Linked DNA regions of Coturnix japonica. The main gene of each other region encodes a partner of the protein of the gene in region 2 in a complex. Links are inferred from orthologs where the notes say so. Each region holds a gene or a part of one and is shown on either strand. Other genes may lie near its edges.

Evidence for each region. Proteins that work in one complex are often made in the same cells at the same time.
Region 1: EXOSC2 (region 2) and EXOSC1 share a complex: the UniProt entries of both Homo sapiens proteins name them as parts of the RNA exosome core complex. The link is inferred for Coturnix japonica from reciprocal best matches to the Homo sapiens genes EXOSC2 and EXOSC1.

Annotation. Positions count from the first base shown.
Region 1 is NC_029521.1:19,501,352-19,507,012, reverse strand, and holds EXOSC1 (exosome complex component CSL4), read right to left. Parts: upstream 3,323-5,661; coding exon 3,292-3,322; intron 3,219-3,291; coding exon 3,103-3,218; intron 2,973-3,102; coding exon 2,898-2,972; intron 2,745-2,897; coding exon 2,656-2,744; intron 2,502-2,655; coding exon 2,468-2,501; intron 2,333-2,467; coding exon 2,282-2,332; intron 2,184-2,281; coding exon 2,099-2,183; intron 1,930-2,098; coding exon 1,823-1,929; 3' UTR 1,696-1,822; downstream 1-1,695. Other genes in the region: PGAM1 (phosphoglycerate mutase 1), read left to right, coding at 1-147, 251-420; palmitoyltransferase ZDHHC16, read left to right, coding at 3,321-3,589, 4,742-4,994, 5,128-5,382, 5,529-5,620. UniProt on the Homo sapiens protein: Non-catalytic component of the RNA exosome complex which has 3'->5' exoribonuclease activity and participates in a multitude of cellular RNA processing and degradation events.
Region 2 is NC_029532.1:4,556,946-4,563,433, reverse strand, and holds the start of EXOSC2 (exosome complex component RRP4), read right to left. Parts: upstream 3,937-6,488; 5' UTR 3,898-3,936; coding exon 3,773-3,897; intron 3,700-3,772; coding exon 3,598-3,699; intron 3,420-3,597; coding exon 3,374-3,419; intron 2,232-3,373; coding exon 2,142-2,231; intron 1,938-2,141; coding exon 1,872-1,937; intron 1,723-1,871; coding exon 1,654-1,722; intron 726-1,653; coding exon 549-725; intron 369-548; coding exon 240-368; intron 1-239. Other genes in the region: PRDM12 (PR domain zinc finger protein 12), read right to left, coding at 5,302-5,684, 6,428-6,488. UniProt on the Homo sapiens protein: Non-catalytic component of the RNA exosome complex which has 3'->5' exoribonuclease activity and participates in a multitude of cellular RNA processing and degradation events.

The DNA.
Region 1 (5,661 bases), on a different chromosome or scaffold from region 2:
TGCCCACGTGTGAGAGCCTGAAGGACACCATCGCCCGGGCCCTGCCCTTCTGGAATGAGGAAATTGTCCCGCAGATCAAAGAGGGCAAGAGAGTCCTTATCGCAGCCCATGGCAACAGCCTGCGGGGGATTGTCAAGCACTTGGAAGGTACGGCAGCTCTGCGTGCTGCTCAGGATCCCCCACTGACCTTGCTCTATACATGCAGAGCTCTCCCTTGCCCTCCCTTTGAGTATCCGTTCTCTGTTTGCAGGCATGTCCGAAGAGGCCATCATGGAGCTGAACCTGCCCACTGGAATCCCAATTGTGTACGAATTAGACAAGAACCTGAAGCCTGTCAAGCCCATGCAGTTCCTAGGAGATGCGGAGACGGTGCGCAAGGCCATGGAGGCTGTTGCTGCTCAGGGCAAAGTCAAGAAATGAGGCCAGGTGCGCAGAGTTAGCAAGTAGATGAGTCCCCTCCGTCCCCATCCCTCTGTGCACACCCCACAGATGTAGAAACTTGGAGCTGCTCCCCAGGGTTAGGCCCCTTCCCTTTGCACCAGGCTCACCTCTGCAGGCAGCCTGGGAGCTGGGGGGTAAGGGGCTGTGTGCACAGGGGTCTGGTGTGAAAGGGAGTACTCGCTCTGCCAGGCAGCAACTGCAGCCCTATGTTGTTTTGTTCCCAGCCCTTGGGGGGATGCTCTCAAGCAATCTTTTGCCATGCCTGGCTTCTCTTGCTTCCCTGGCAGCTCTTGTCACTGCTACTGTAGTTTTGTTGCTTGGTTTAGCTCTTTCAGAAGCACAACAGGAGCAGTGGGACACAGGCAGGAAGGGGCAGTGATCAAGATGGGTGCCCAGGTCCCCTCGTGGCTGTGTGGTTTTTACTAGGACACTTAGACACCAGATGTGTTGTACTGTGGTGCACGCTCCTGTGTGTAGTACAGCACCCAGTAGTAGTACCTGCAAACCCCAACCCAGCTCCACTGCTTTAACTTATTGCTTTTGGACAAGGGAAGGAGCGTGTTGTCTGGGATCTGTATTTGCCATGTGCTTCCTCCAGCCAAAGCCAACTTTAGTCCTGCATCATGGAGGTGGTTAGATGCCATTGTGTACCCATCCCACAAACGTCTACTTGGCACTGTCACTGTAGCCTCCCCCACTGCTGCTGTAGTGAGTCTGGGCTTGCACTGGGTCAATCTAACTGTCCAGCGGTAGCAGTTGTCTTGTTCCAGTTCAATAAAAGATGAATATGCAATAATTAAATGTCAGCGTTTCCTTGTGCCACTGCGCCACGTGGAGCTCCCACTTTGCCTAGCACCGCATTTCCTGCACCACCACGTGTCTGTGATGCGCAAGTTGCTGCTGACTTGTGGGTGCAGAAGGTGCTCAGACTGCACAGCAAAGCACAGTTCTGCAATCCTCGCTGCAAAGAGTGATTCACTGCAGTGCTTTATGGGCTCTGGGCTGTGCCACACCTCTGCCTAACAAAGGGCATGTATGGCCTGAGGTGATAAGCCATCCTGGGGATGAGCACAGCAGCCATAGATGGTGCTATGTACCACTAAGCCTCAAAGCCTCGCTGCTCCCCAGGACAGGAACAGACTTTCTCACTCCCACACTGATGGGAGAAACAGCCCCCTCCAGCAGCTCCAGAGCAGAAGGGCTACAGGCAGCCAGAGCAACCCCTGCGGGCAGTGACTGAGCAGAACACAGAGCTCTCAAAAAAACCACGTTTATTTATTACTTACAGCACAAATACAAAACCCATCCTGCTGTATGGAAGATGCTGGACCCCACCATAGCAGCTCTCTTTCCTGGGGTCCCTGTACCCCTGAGGAGGCTGCTATGTCTGCAGGAACTGAGGCTGCACACGGGCCACCTTACGGAAGTCCTTGGTGTGCGTCTGTGGGCACTGCATCTCACACCAGCTGATAGGCACCATCTGCACCCCTGCAGGCATCCTCAGTTAGCAGATCCCTTCCTGCTTTGTCACACTGCCCAGCCCCAGCAGCCCAAAGCCTCCTCGTGCAGCCCCTGAGGCTCAGCAGTGGGAGGAAAGGAGGGTGTTTGCTCCCCATGCTGCACTGGCTGTTCCTCACATGGAGATGAGGATTCCTACCTGCGTCGCTGCGTGCCACCACCACACCCAGCTCGTTCTCTGCCGTGCTCAGCAGGTAGTTGGACTGTGCATCCCCCAGCGAGATCTGGTTAGGTTTGTGTTAAGGGAAAGACTCCCTGCCTCTATAGCCCAGCACAAACCCTCCAGGCCCGTGGGCCCTCCCACTGCGATGGGAAAGGATACGACTTTGGCCAGGACTATGTCACCGGGGCGGAAACTCTTGTAGACTTCTACCTACGTGGGAGGGAGTGGACAGGAGTGCATGGAGAGCGCAGGTACTGCTCGATAGGCACCCCATGGGCAGCAGCACGAGGGGAGCTGGACAGGGGGAAGCTGTAACAGCACTGTACCCAGCAGTGCCCCGCTGACCTTATCCTTTTCAGTAGCTCGAATGTCTTCCCTCCTAGAAAAGCAGACACAGGAATGTGATACCAGAGAGAGCCAGGAGGAGCTGCCCCGGCCTCCCTGGACGGCAGCCAGGCCTCGCTAGATGCATCCACGCAGCTGTCCTCGCAGCAGGCAGGCACCGCGCAGTGTGCCCCCTGCCCTTTCCCTACCGTATGGTGCCACGGAAGGTGGATTTCAGCGGCGTGGAGCCAACGTACAGGATGTTCACTTTGGCAAACCGGGAGTTGATGCTGCACACCTGCACCAACGGGCGGCGGGCACTCAGCGCCCGCGCAGCGTGGGCCGGGCCGGGCCGGGCGGCTCCTTGAGTGTCCGCCGCCGTCCGTCCGGAGCTCCGTGAGCCGAGCACACGGCCCCGGCCGCGGGGACACGTGGGGACAGCGGCACCCACCTTACACGTCACCACGGAGCCCACGTCGGGCAGCAGCTGCGCCTCTGCATCCCGCACCACCGACACCACGGGCAGCTGCGGGGCACAGACAGATGGATAGACACACAGACACACACACAGACACACACACACACACATAGACACACACACACACCCGGTCTCAGCCCGGTCCCGCCCCGTTTCCCGTTCCCCGCCGTGCTCTCACCGCCCCGTCCCGCTCGCAGCGCCGCACGCATCCGCTCAGCGCAGCGAAGATGTTGCCGTTCCGCACGTAGGTGCCGCTCCCCGCCGCGTTTCCGTCCGCTCCGCACAGCCGTTCTCCTGCGGGTCGCTCGCTCAGCACCGGTCCCGCACTTACCGGCCCGTCCCCCCCCGCCGCCCGCCCCGCACTTACCGGGCACGCAGTACCGAGCTGGTGGCGCCATGTTCAGCGTCGCGCGTGAGCCCGCAAAGAACCCTCCTCCTATTGGCTCTCAGCGACGGGGCCGCGATGTAAGCGGCATACCTATTGGTTCTCTTTTAACCTCAGGGAGCGGCGGTGTCGCGCGGCCCGCTGGGAGTCGTAGTGCGGCGCCTCGTGCCGGCCCTGCCCGCTGTGCTCAGTGCGCAGGCGCGGGGCGGCGGGCGCTGCCCGGTGCCGTGAGGGCGGCGGGAACCGGGCATGGCGGCGGGCGGCGGGGAGCGGGCGGCAGGTGCGAGCGGGAACGGGAACGGGAACGGGATGGGTGCGGCGGGGCGGGGAGCGGGGCACGGAGCGGGGCGGGCCCGCGGCCTTGGGGCGGCGTGACCGGCTGGCACGGCCGAGGGCAGCCCTGAGCCCAGCACGGGGTCACCGGGAGCGGGAGCTCATCACCCGCCGTGCGGCCGTGCCGGTACCGCTGTGTCCCGGTCCCGCCGTGTGCCGGTTGTGCCGGTTGTGCCGGTCCCGCCGTGTGCCGGCCGCTCGCTCTGTGTTCCCGGGCCGTGTGTTGGCGCTGGGCCGTGCCGCTGCCTGGCGCGGTGCCGAGCGGAGCGCTCGGTTCGTGCCTTGGCCGCATCCCGGGCCGGCCGTGCCGTTAATATTGATGGCCCGGGGGCCCTGACCCGGCGGATCGTTTGCCTCATTTCGGGCCCGGCTCGGGTTCCTCCTCGCTCCCATCGCGGCCCTCGGGTGGGATAAGAGGCTCAGCGGGAGGACGAGGGCTCGGTGCGTCCCTCTGCTGTCCGAGTGCCCGCAGCTCGGCCTGGCACAGCGCAGCGTGGCACTGTCCGGGGAGCTGCTGGGGTCGGTGTGCGATGGGCTCTGCAGCTTGGTCCGGGGCTGAGGCAAAAGGAAGAGCCGTCCAGGTGCTGCTGGGTGTGAGGAACAGGGCACGTGTTTTGTGCGGGCTCCCTCACTCCCGAATCCATTAGCAAAGGCTGCTGAGGGGATCCCCGTGGGTTTGGAGCGTTCCCTGCCCTGGAATGAGCTCTTCGCCCCATGTGCCCTCACCGTCTCCAGTTTCCTCTGAGTCAGACTCTCCGTGTCGCTCCCCAACCCCCTCCCCTGTGGGAAAGACGAGATGGGAGCAGGGAGCACCCGAGGTCAGGCGCGGAGCCTGACAGCCCCGTGTCCCCCCTCCGCACACAGAGCTCGGGAGCGCAGCATCCCTTTGGGCTCAGCGCCACCCGCTTCTGCTCCGCATCCTGCGCAGGGTGAAGGAGCCCTGCCCCGCCGTGCAGCCTGACACCTGGCCTGCCCACACCCAGCATCTGCCCACATCCAGCATCTGCCCACATCCAGCATCTGCCCACACCCAGCATCTGCCCACACCCAGCATCTGCCCACACCCAGCATCTGCCCACATCCAGCCCCTTCCCCGCAGGTTCGGAGCAGCAGGGATGAGGAGCCGGCAGCGGATGTTTGCGGCGGTGATGCGCCTGCTCCTCAAGTGCCTGCGGCTGGGCCGGCGGCGGCGCTTTAAGCTGGTTCGGCAGGCAGGGCAGCTGTGGCACTATGGGCACCTCTGCCTCCGCTCCCTGCTCTACAATTCCTTCACCAACGGCGACGTGGTGCTCGACTCCCTCTTTGAGCCCATCTACTGGCTGGTGGACCACGTCACCCGCTGGTTTGGTGTGGTGAGTACCTCCATTGCGAGGGGGGTTTGGGGCGGTTCATGCTGCTGGGGACACCGAGTCCTAGGGAGGGAGCGAAGACGCCAGCATGGGGCAGGTTCTGCACACTCCACTGACCCAAGCCCCTTTCCTTTAGGTGTTTGTGGCACTGGTGATAGGCTTGACAAGCTCCATTGTGGCCATCGTATACATCTGCCTGCTGCCCCTCATCCTGCAGACATACACACCTGCGTGGATCTGCTGGCATCTTGCTTACGGACACTGGAACCTCATCATGATAGTCTTCCACTATTACAAGGCCATCACCACTTCTCCTGGGTACCCACCGCAGGTGAGGCTGAGCCTGGGCACCAATGAGCAGCACAGCCTCTTGCAGCTGGGCACTAGGTACAGCTGATCACTGTTGGTATCATTGCAGGAGGCCTCCTCCAGATGGGGGCTAGGAGGGGAGACAGGCTTGGGGGAGTGTGGTGAACACATGGGGAGCAGGGGACGGTGTGGGGGCTTGGGAGCACATGCTCTTTTCTGATGTATGTACAGGCCAAGAACGACCTCACTGGCGTCTCCATCTGCAGGAAATGCATTGCCCCCAAGCCGGCTCGCACCCACCACTGCAGCATCTGCAACAGGTAATGTTCCCCAACCTCCCCACCATATCAGGTAGTGCCTT
Region 2 (6,488 bases):
TTGGAGCTCTTGCTGCGTACCTTTTCTCTGTGATTGTTTAAGTTCGGCCAGGACATCATACACATCCAAGGCAATTTCTGTCATGCATGAGAGCAGAAGTTCGTGCTGTCACTACAAACCTTTTGGGAAGACTAAAGGAAACCCTGCTGCCTAATTTATTGACTTCAGCAGCAGCAGACTCAGCCTTCCCAATCCTTTCCCACGCTGTGGAATAAAGCAAACAGCGCTGGTTTCTGTACCTGATGAGGAAGGGATGCCTCATAGCAATACAGGATGCTAGTGTCGAAGAGCATCAACTTCTGAGTAACCAGAGCTACAATGCAGTTTCGGAGCCGTGAGATCACCTCCCGGTCAGACAGGGGAACTGGCTGAGGAAGGACAGAGGAACAGAGATGAGTATGTAGGGAAATCATGCAAGTCTCCTGGAAAAAAGTAACATTTTGCCACAAATCTAATACCACTTCTTAAATGATTCACATGCCTCCTGGATCTCAACTAGCACAGCACCATTGGTAGAACACGGCTCATCATTTTCCCCGTCCCCTCACCTCTAAGTTGGTTGTGAAGCCCCCTGCTTCTTCATCTTTCTGTTCTGGAGTTGGGTAGATCCAGATGAAACCGTTGTTGCCGAGGATCACAGATGCACCACAGGGCAAGTCATGGAAGTGAGTCTTCTGGCGTTTCACAAGGGAGGGTGAGACCTGAACAAGCACACCCTGACCAAGCTGAAGAGGAGACCATGAGACTCAGCATGAGAGACAACGTGCTGCCAACAGGTAATATCCAGTCACCGACATGCACTCCAGGAACCAGCCAATTTAACATCTTTTCCTGTGAAACGGTGAATATAAAACCTGCTTGCCTCTGGGAGTGCTGGGAGGATTAGCTAATGCCCTGTGCAGCCCTTTGAAGATGAAGAATACTCTCAGTGCTTAGCATAAATGTTAATAATGTCTTGATTGTAACTAGACATCAACCATCCTGCAGAAAAACGAGGAGCGAGAGGCCCAATTCAGCAGAACACTTTCCCTCTTAATCCAGTCTCTGTCCTTCACCCTCTGTGCAAAAAGCACATTTTGCTTTTATCTTTTAAGTGCTAATACCTTTGGTCTAGTAATCCCAACTGCAGCCCCCTTGGCTTATTTCAATGTGCAAAAACAGAGATAAATGCCAACTGCATAAAGCCTAAAATAGAGCCCTGGAGTGAGCAGCAAGCCATGGGGACAATGACCTGCAGAAGAAGAGCGATAAAGTTTGAGATAGAAGATTTTTCTTCCCAGAGCTCAAGTCCCAAGCAACTGGTGGGAGAAATGGATTCATGCAGTAACTGTGGAGAGGGACAGCAGCAGTTCAGAGGGAATGTGTGCAATGAGGAACTCTGCTTTGAGCTCCCATGTAGGAGCTAAAATTCTTCCTAACCTACTGACAAGGGCTATAATATCATACTCTACTGCAGAGCCTTTTATTCCTTAAGGATCTCCCCCCAAACCTCTATCCTGATGCTATCTCGATATAAATACAAAGAAATTCTACTGACATGGATAGAACTGCACTGTATTTAACAAGATCTGACCCTCTAACAGACCACTAAGCACAAGGGTTAGAGACTCATACAATCCAACCAGCACAAAATGAGACTTTTGAACAACATACCTTCCCATATTTCAGACTCCTGGTGTGCAGTGATACAGCCCCATCTGAAAACACAGACTGGACCTCTGCCTGTCAGTGCCTCTTAAGGAAACAGACTTCTTCATGCTGCCCTGTACCAACAGCCACCAACAGAGCTTTCCCTGCCTGCCTGAGGTCTGGCTGTTCCCCCTTCCAATCCCTTTGACTCTTCTGTCCAAGTACAAGCAGTGAAAGGATACACTGATGAGATCCCCTTCCTGCAGATAGTCCCTCATTGCAAGCTCATCTTCTGCTGATCTCCTCCTCTAAAATGGACAATGCAAGAAAAGTTATGGGTCACGTAGAATGAGAAAACATTAATTAACAGCAACACAAAGAGAGGATCATCTCCTTAGGACACTGTGCAAAATGCATGGGAAGTCAAAACCACACGTGTGCTAACTGCAGGAGGGGCTCAGAGCATCCTGCCCTGCAGCACTGTGGTCCTTCTCTGCACAAACTGTGCTCACCAGTTCCCCACCAGGTAAATTCATAGACGACAACAACAGGACTGAATCCAGCCTGGAATTGGTTTCCACTTTCCATCGTTTCTGTTGAACCTGGTGAAGAAAAAACAACGTTAATGTACACTCAGAAAATGAACTAAGTCTCTAATCTAAGTGGGAAGTCATGCAGATGACTGACTCTATAGCAAAGCACTGTGACAGCCATAAGAAATGACCGGCCAGTGCAGCAGAGGCTGTCAGAGAAGGAATCATTTCAGTTGGAAAAGAGCATTAAAAGCCACCTGGTACAACTCCCAGTAATGAACAGGGACACCTGCAGGTCCCTCAGGTGCACAGAGCCCCGTCCAGCTCTGATCCTGAATGTCTGTGGGGGTGAGGCAACCACAACCACCCTGAGTAACTTGTGCCAGCGCCTCATTGCCCTTATTGTAAAAGACATCCTCCTTATATTGAATGTAAATCTCTCCTGTTGAGACTGAAACCATTTCCCCTTGTCCTATCACAACAGACCCTGCTAAGAAGTCAGTCCCCTTCTTCCTTACAGAAAGATACTTTAGATAATGACAGGCTGCTCTCAGCTCTCTCCAGCGCCATCTCCTCTCCATGCTGCACAGCCCCAGCTCTCAGCCTGTCCCCGCAGGGAGCTGTTCCATCCCTCGGATCACTTTTACGGTCATCCTGTGGATGTGCTCCAACAGATCCATGTCCATCCTGCACCGAGGATGCCCCACCAGGACACAGTGCTACAGATGGGGCCTCACACGAGGACATGCCCACCTCCCTGTCCCACAGCTTGCACTGCATGCATCCAACCCTATGGGTCCCAGCCATCCCTATGGGGCTGAGTGCTCCCCTATGGGTCCCAGCCATCCCTATGGGGCTGAGTGCTCCCCTATGGGTCCCAGCCATCCCTATGGGCGCCAGCCATCCCTATGTGGCTGAGTACTCCCCTATGTGTCCCATCCATCCCTATGTGTCCCATCCATCCCCTATAGATCCCATCCATCCCTATAGATCCCATCCATCCCTATGTGTCCCCCCCTTTAGTGTGGGGTCCCTGTTCCCCCTATGGGCGCACTGGACGGCAGCTCATTACAATGGATCCGGATGGGCACTACGGTTGCCACCAACGCCCTCCTGCAGCTCTGCATGGCACAGTGCTCTCTGTGCTCCAGCATCTCACTCTTTCTTTGTCAGACCTCATCACGTTCTCCCGTGTCCTCCCAGCTCCTCACCTCCGTGATCCTCCCGACCACGATGTCTCCGACCTCCCCGTTGTACCTGGCGGTGGGACAGAGCACAGCATTAACACAGCATTAACACAGCATTATTACACACCATTATTACACAGCATTATTACACAGCATTAACACACATTACACAGCATTATTACACAGCATTAACACACATTACACACCATTATTACCCATCCCATTGCACATCCCGTCCCTATATTCACCTGCTCTGTAGCGGTGTCACACACACCAATTTATTCACCCTCTCCACAGCTCCAGCCACCGAGGCGACGAGCTTCTCCTCATCCACATAGGTGCCGTGTCCCCTGCAGACAGAACGGACGCCATTAGAGCCCAAACCGCGGCCTGCCCCGTCCCCTAATGCTCCTCCATCCCCACCTCATGTATCCCGTGTCCGTAGTGATGGTGTCTCCGGGTACAACCAGGTGTTTCTCGCCGCCCCGAGGCCGGCTGGGCCCCACGGCTTTACGGATCACGGGCAGCCGCATGGACACCGCCGCCATCTTGGTTGAAGGCGGAACTGCGCCTTGCGGTTACACGTGACTTCCGGACGCCATCTTGAATGAGGGCCGTAACGAGAGTCACGTGGGTTGGGTACAGGGCGGCCATTTTGGTTCCTGGCAGGGAGGTTGGGGGGGGGCAGCGATGTGAATGGGGCAGGGGGTGCTCCCCTATGGGTCTCATCCATCCCTATGGGGCTGAGTGCTCCCCTATGGGTCCCAGCCATCCCTATGGGGCTGAGTGCTCCCCTATGGGTCCCATCCATCCCTATGGGGCTGAGTGCCCCCCTATGGGTCCCAGCCTTCCCTATGGCGCTGAGTGCCCCCCTATGGGTCCCATACATCCCTATGGGTCCCATCCATCCCTATGGGTCCCATCCATCCCTATGGGGCTGAGTGCTCCCTATGGGTCCCAGCACCCATTAATGGGGTTGGACCCACAGCCCCCCCCTCCCCCCAATTTAAACCACGCTCGGTCCCGAATCGCTTTTTATTTCGAGTACAAGAGAGAGGTACAAATGTATTTACAGCGCTGTGCGTATACAATCCCATAATATAGAATATCAAAGGCTTGTAAATAATGTTTTACATAAATATTTACAAAGTTAAAGTGACGGGTTATTATATATTTTCCTTCTTGGGTTTTTCTTTTTTTCCCTTTTCTGGCAGTAAAACGCAGTGTTTTTATTTTTATGAGAGCTTTTATACACCTCGGATTTAGGATGAACACAACAACCTTCCAAGTTAATGGGAACAGCCGCTCCGGGCTGTGCGGTCCCCAGAGGGCAGCAGAGCTGAGCGCTCCCTTAGGGCTGGATGGGGCTGAGCAGCTGCTGGGCCGTCATTGCATGGTCCAAGTTGGAAGGGACCCCCCTCAAACCCCTCCTAAAGGCCGCCTGGTCCAACTCCCTACACACACAGTGCTCAGAGCCCCGGGCAGCCTGACCTCGGGGGTCTCACAGCCCATCTCAGCCTCCCATCCCTTGGTGGCATGTAGACAAACCCCATGGCACAGCTGGGGATAGAGGGAGGAAAACCCAACTCGGCTGAACAGACAAAGCTGATGGTCCCAGTGATGCTGTGCCACGTCTCCTTGCTGGGCGCTCGCTGGCACAGAGGAGAAAGGACAAAAGCAATTTTCCTTCCTATCAAATGATCCATAAAACCCAACCTTGATTCATCCAGGTGCAGCCGCAGCTCCGAACACACCAGCAAAATCCACACGGGATGTCCTGCCGTGCCCTCCCATTCTCCCTTTCCCACCAAACCCTATGGAAACGCTGATGCTCCCAATGCAAACTCAGAGCAGCGGCTCTGCCACGGGCTCCCAGTTCCTCACACATCTCAATGCCAGTCTTTGCACGTGGGCAGCGACCATCCAGAAACGTGCTGCTGCCGTTCCATGGCTCACAGCACCATGGTGGGGATGTGATGGGCCAAGGAAGCGGGATGGGGCACGGGTAGGGCAGGCGAATGAGCCTGCAGGGATGCATTGGGGGGTCGATGACGGGCGCTTTTCTGATGCGCCCGTAACCCGGCCAGCTGGGAATAGGCACTTTGACACACCTGGCACTTATAGGGCCGCTCTCCGGTGTGCAAACGGACGTGGTTACGCAGGGTGGAGGATTGGCTGAAGCGCCGGTTGCAGAAGCGACACACGAAGGGCTTGTCCAAGGTGTGGATGCGCATGTGGGAGCGCAGGTTGCTGCGGGAGTTGAAGCCGCGGTGGCAGATGACGCAGCGCATGCGACCCGTGGTGCTGGCCCCGGTCTCCACTGCATGGAAGTCCTCTGCGAGCAATACAAGGGGATGGACGGTCAGGTTGTGCCCTGCTCACACCCCTTTCTGTGCCATATATAACCACCCCATGCTGCACACTGCACCCACAGCAATGTTGTGACCAGCAGCTCTCAGTGGGGATCTGTGGCTGTAACAAACCTGCTCCAGTCCCAGCTTCTCCCCCAGCCCCATTGGGATCTGCTTTGGGGCTCACTCAGAGCATGCAGCACTAAGGAAAGGGGGAATTGAATGGGACAGGACACAGCTCAGAGCACAGCGTTCCCAATAAGGCTCAGGAGCTGCACTGCCTGCACATGGCACAGCTGGGATAGACAGAGCCAAAGCCTCCTGCACTGGCTATTCAGAGAAATAAGGTTAAATGCGGAGCAGGGAAATGGATGAGTGCATCCCAGCACCTCACGGTGTATTGGGGCTCCTTCCTCCCCACCTGGCAGCTCCACACTTGCTCAGGCAGTGGACCATGGGGTCCCAAATTGCTGGGGATCTGCCCAAGCTGCAGGCTCTGTTCTGTGGGAGGTGGGCTCTGTCTTACAGGTGAGGCTGATGGGCTCCTCTCTATAGGATCGTGGGGATATGGAAGGCTGTGTGCCCAGCATGGGATATGCTGTGCTGCTCAGAGCTCCATATGCATGCCCACCCTGCCCCATGCCCACCCTGCCCCATGCCCACCCTGCCCTCAGAGCTGGGGTTGGGGTGAGAAGGGAATGACGTGGCTTTTTCTGCTGTTACCTACCATGTTTGTTCTTCTTCTGCTCCTCTTCCAGCCCCGGCACACCTGGGATGCCCAGGAAGGT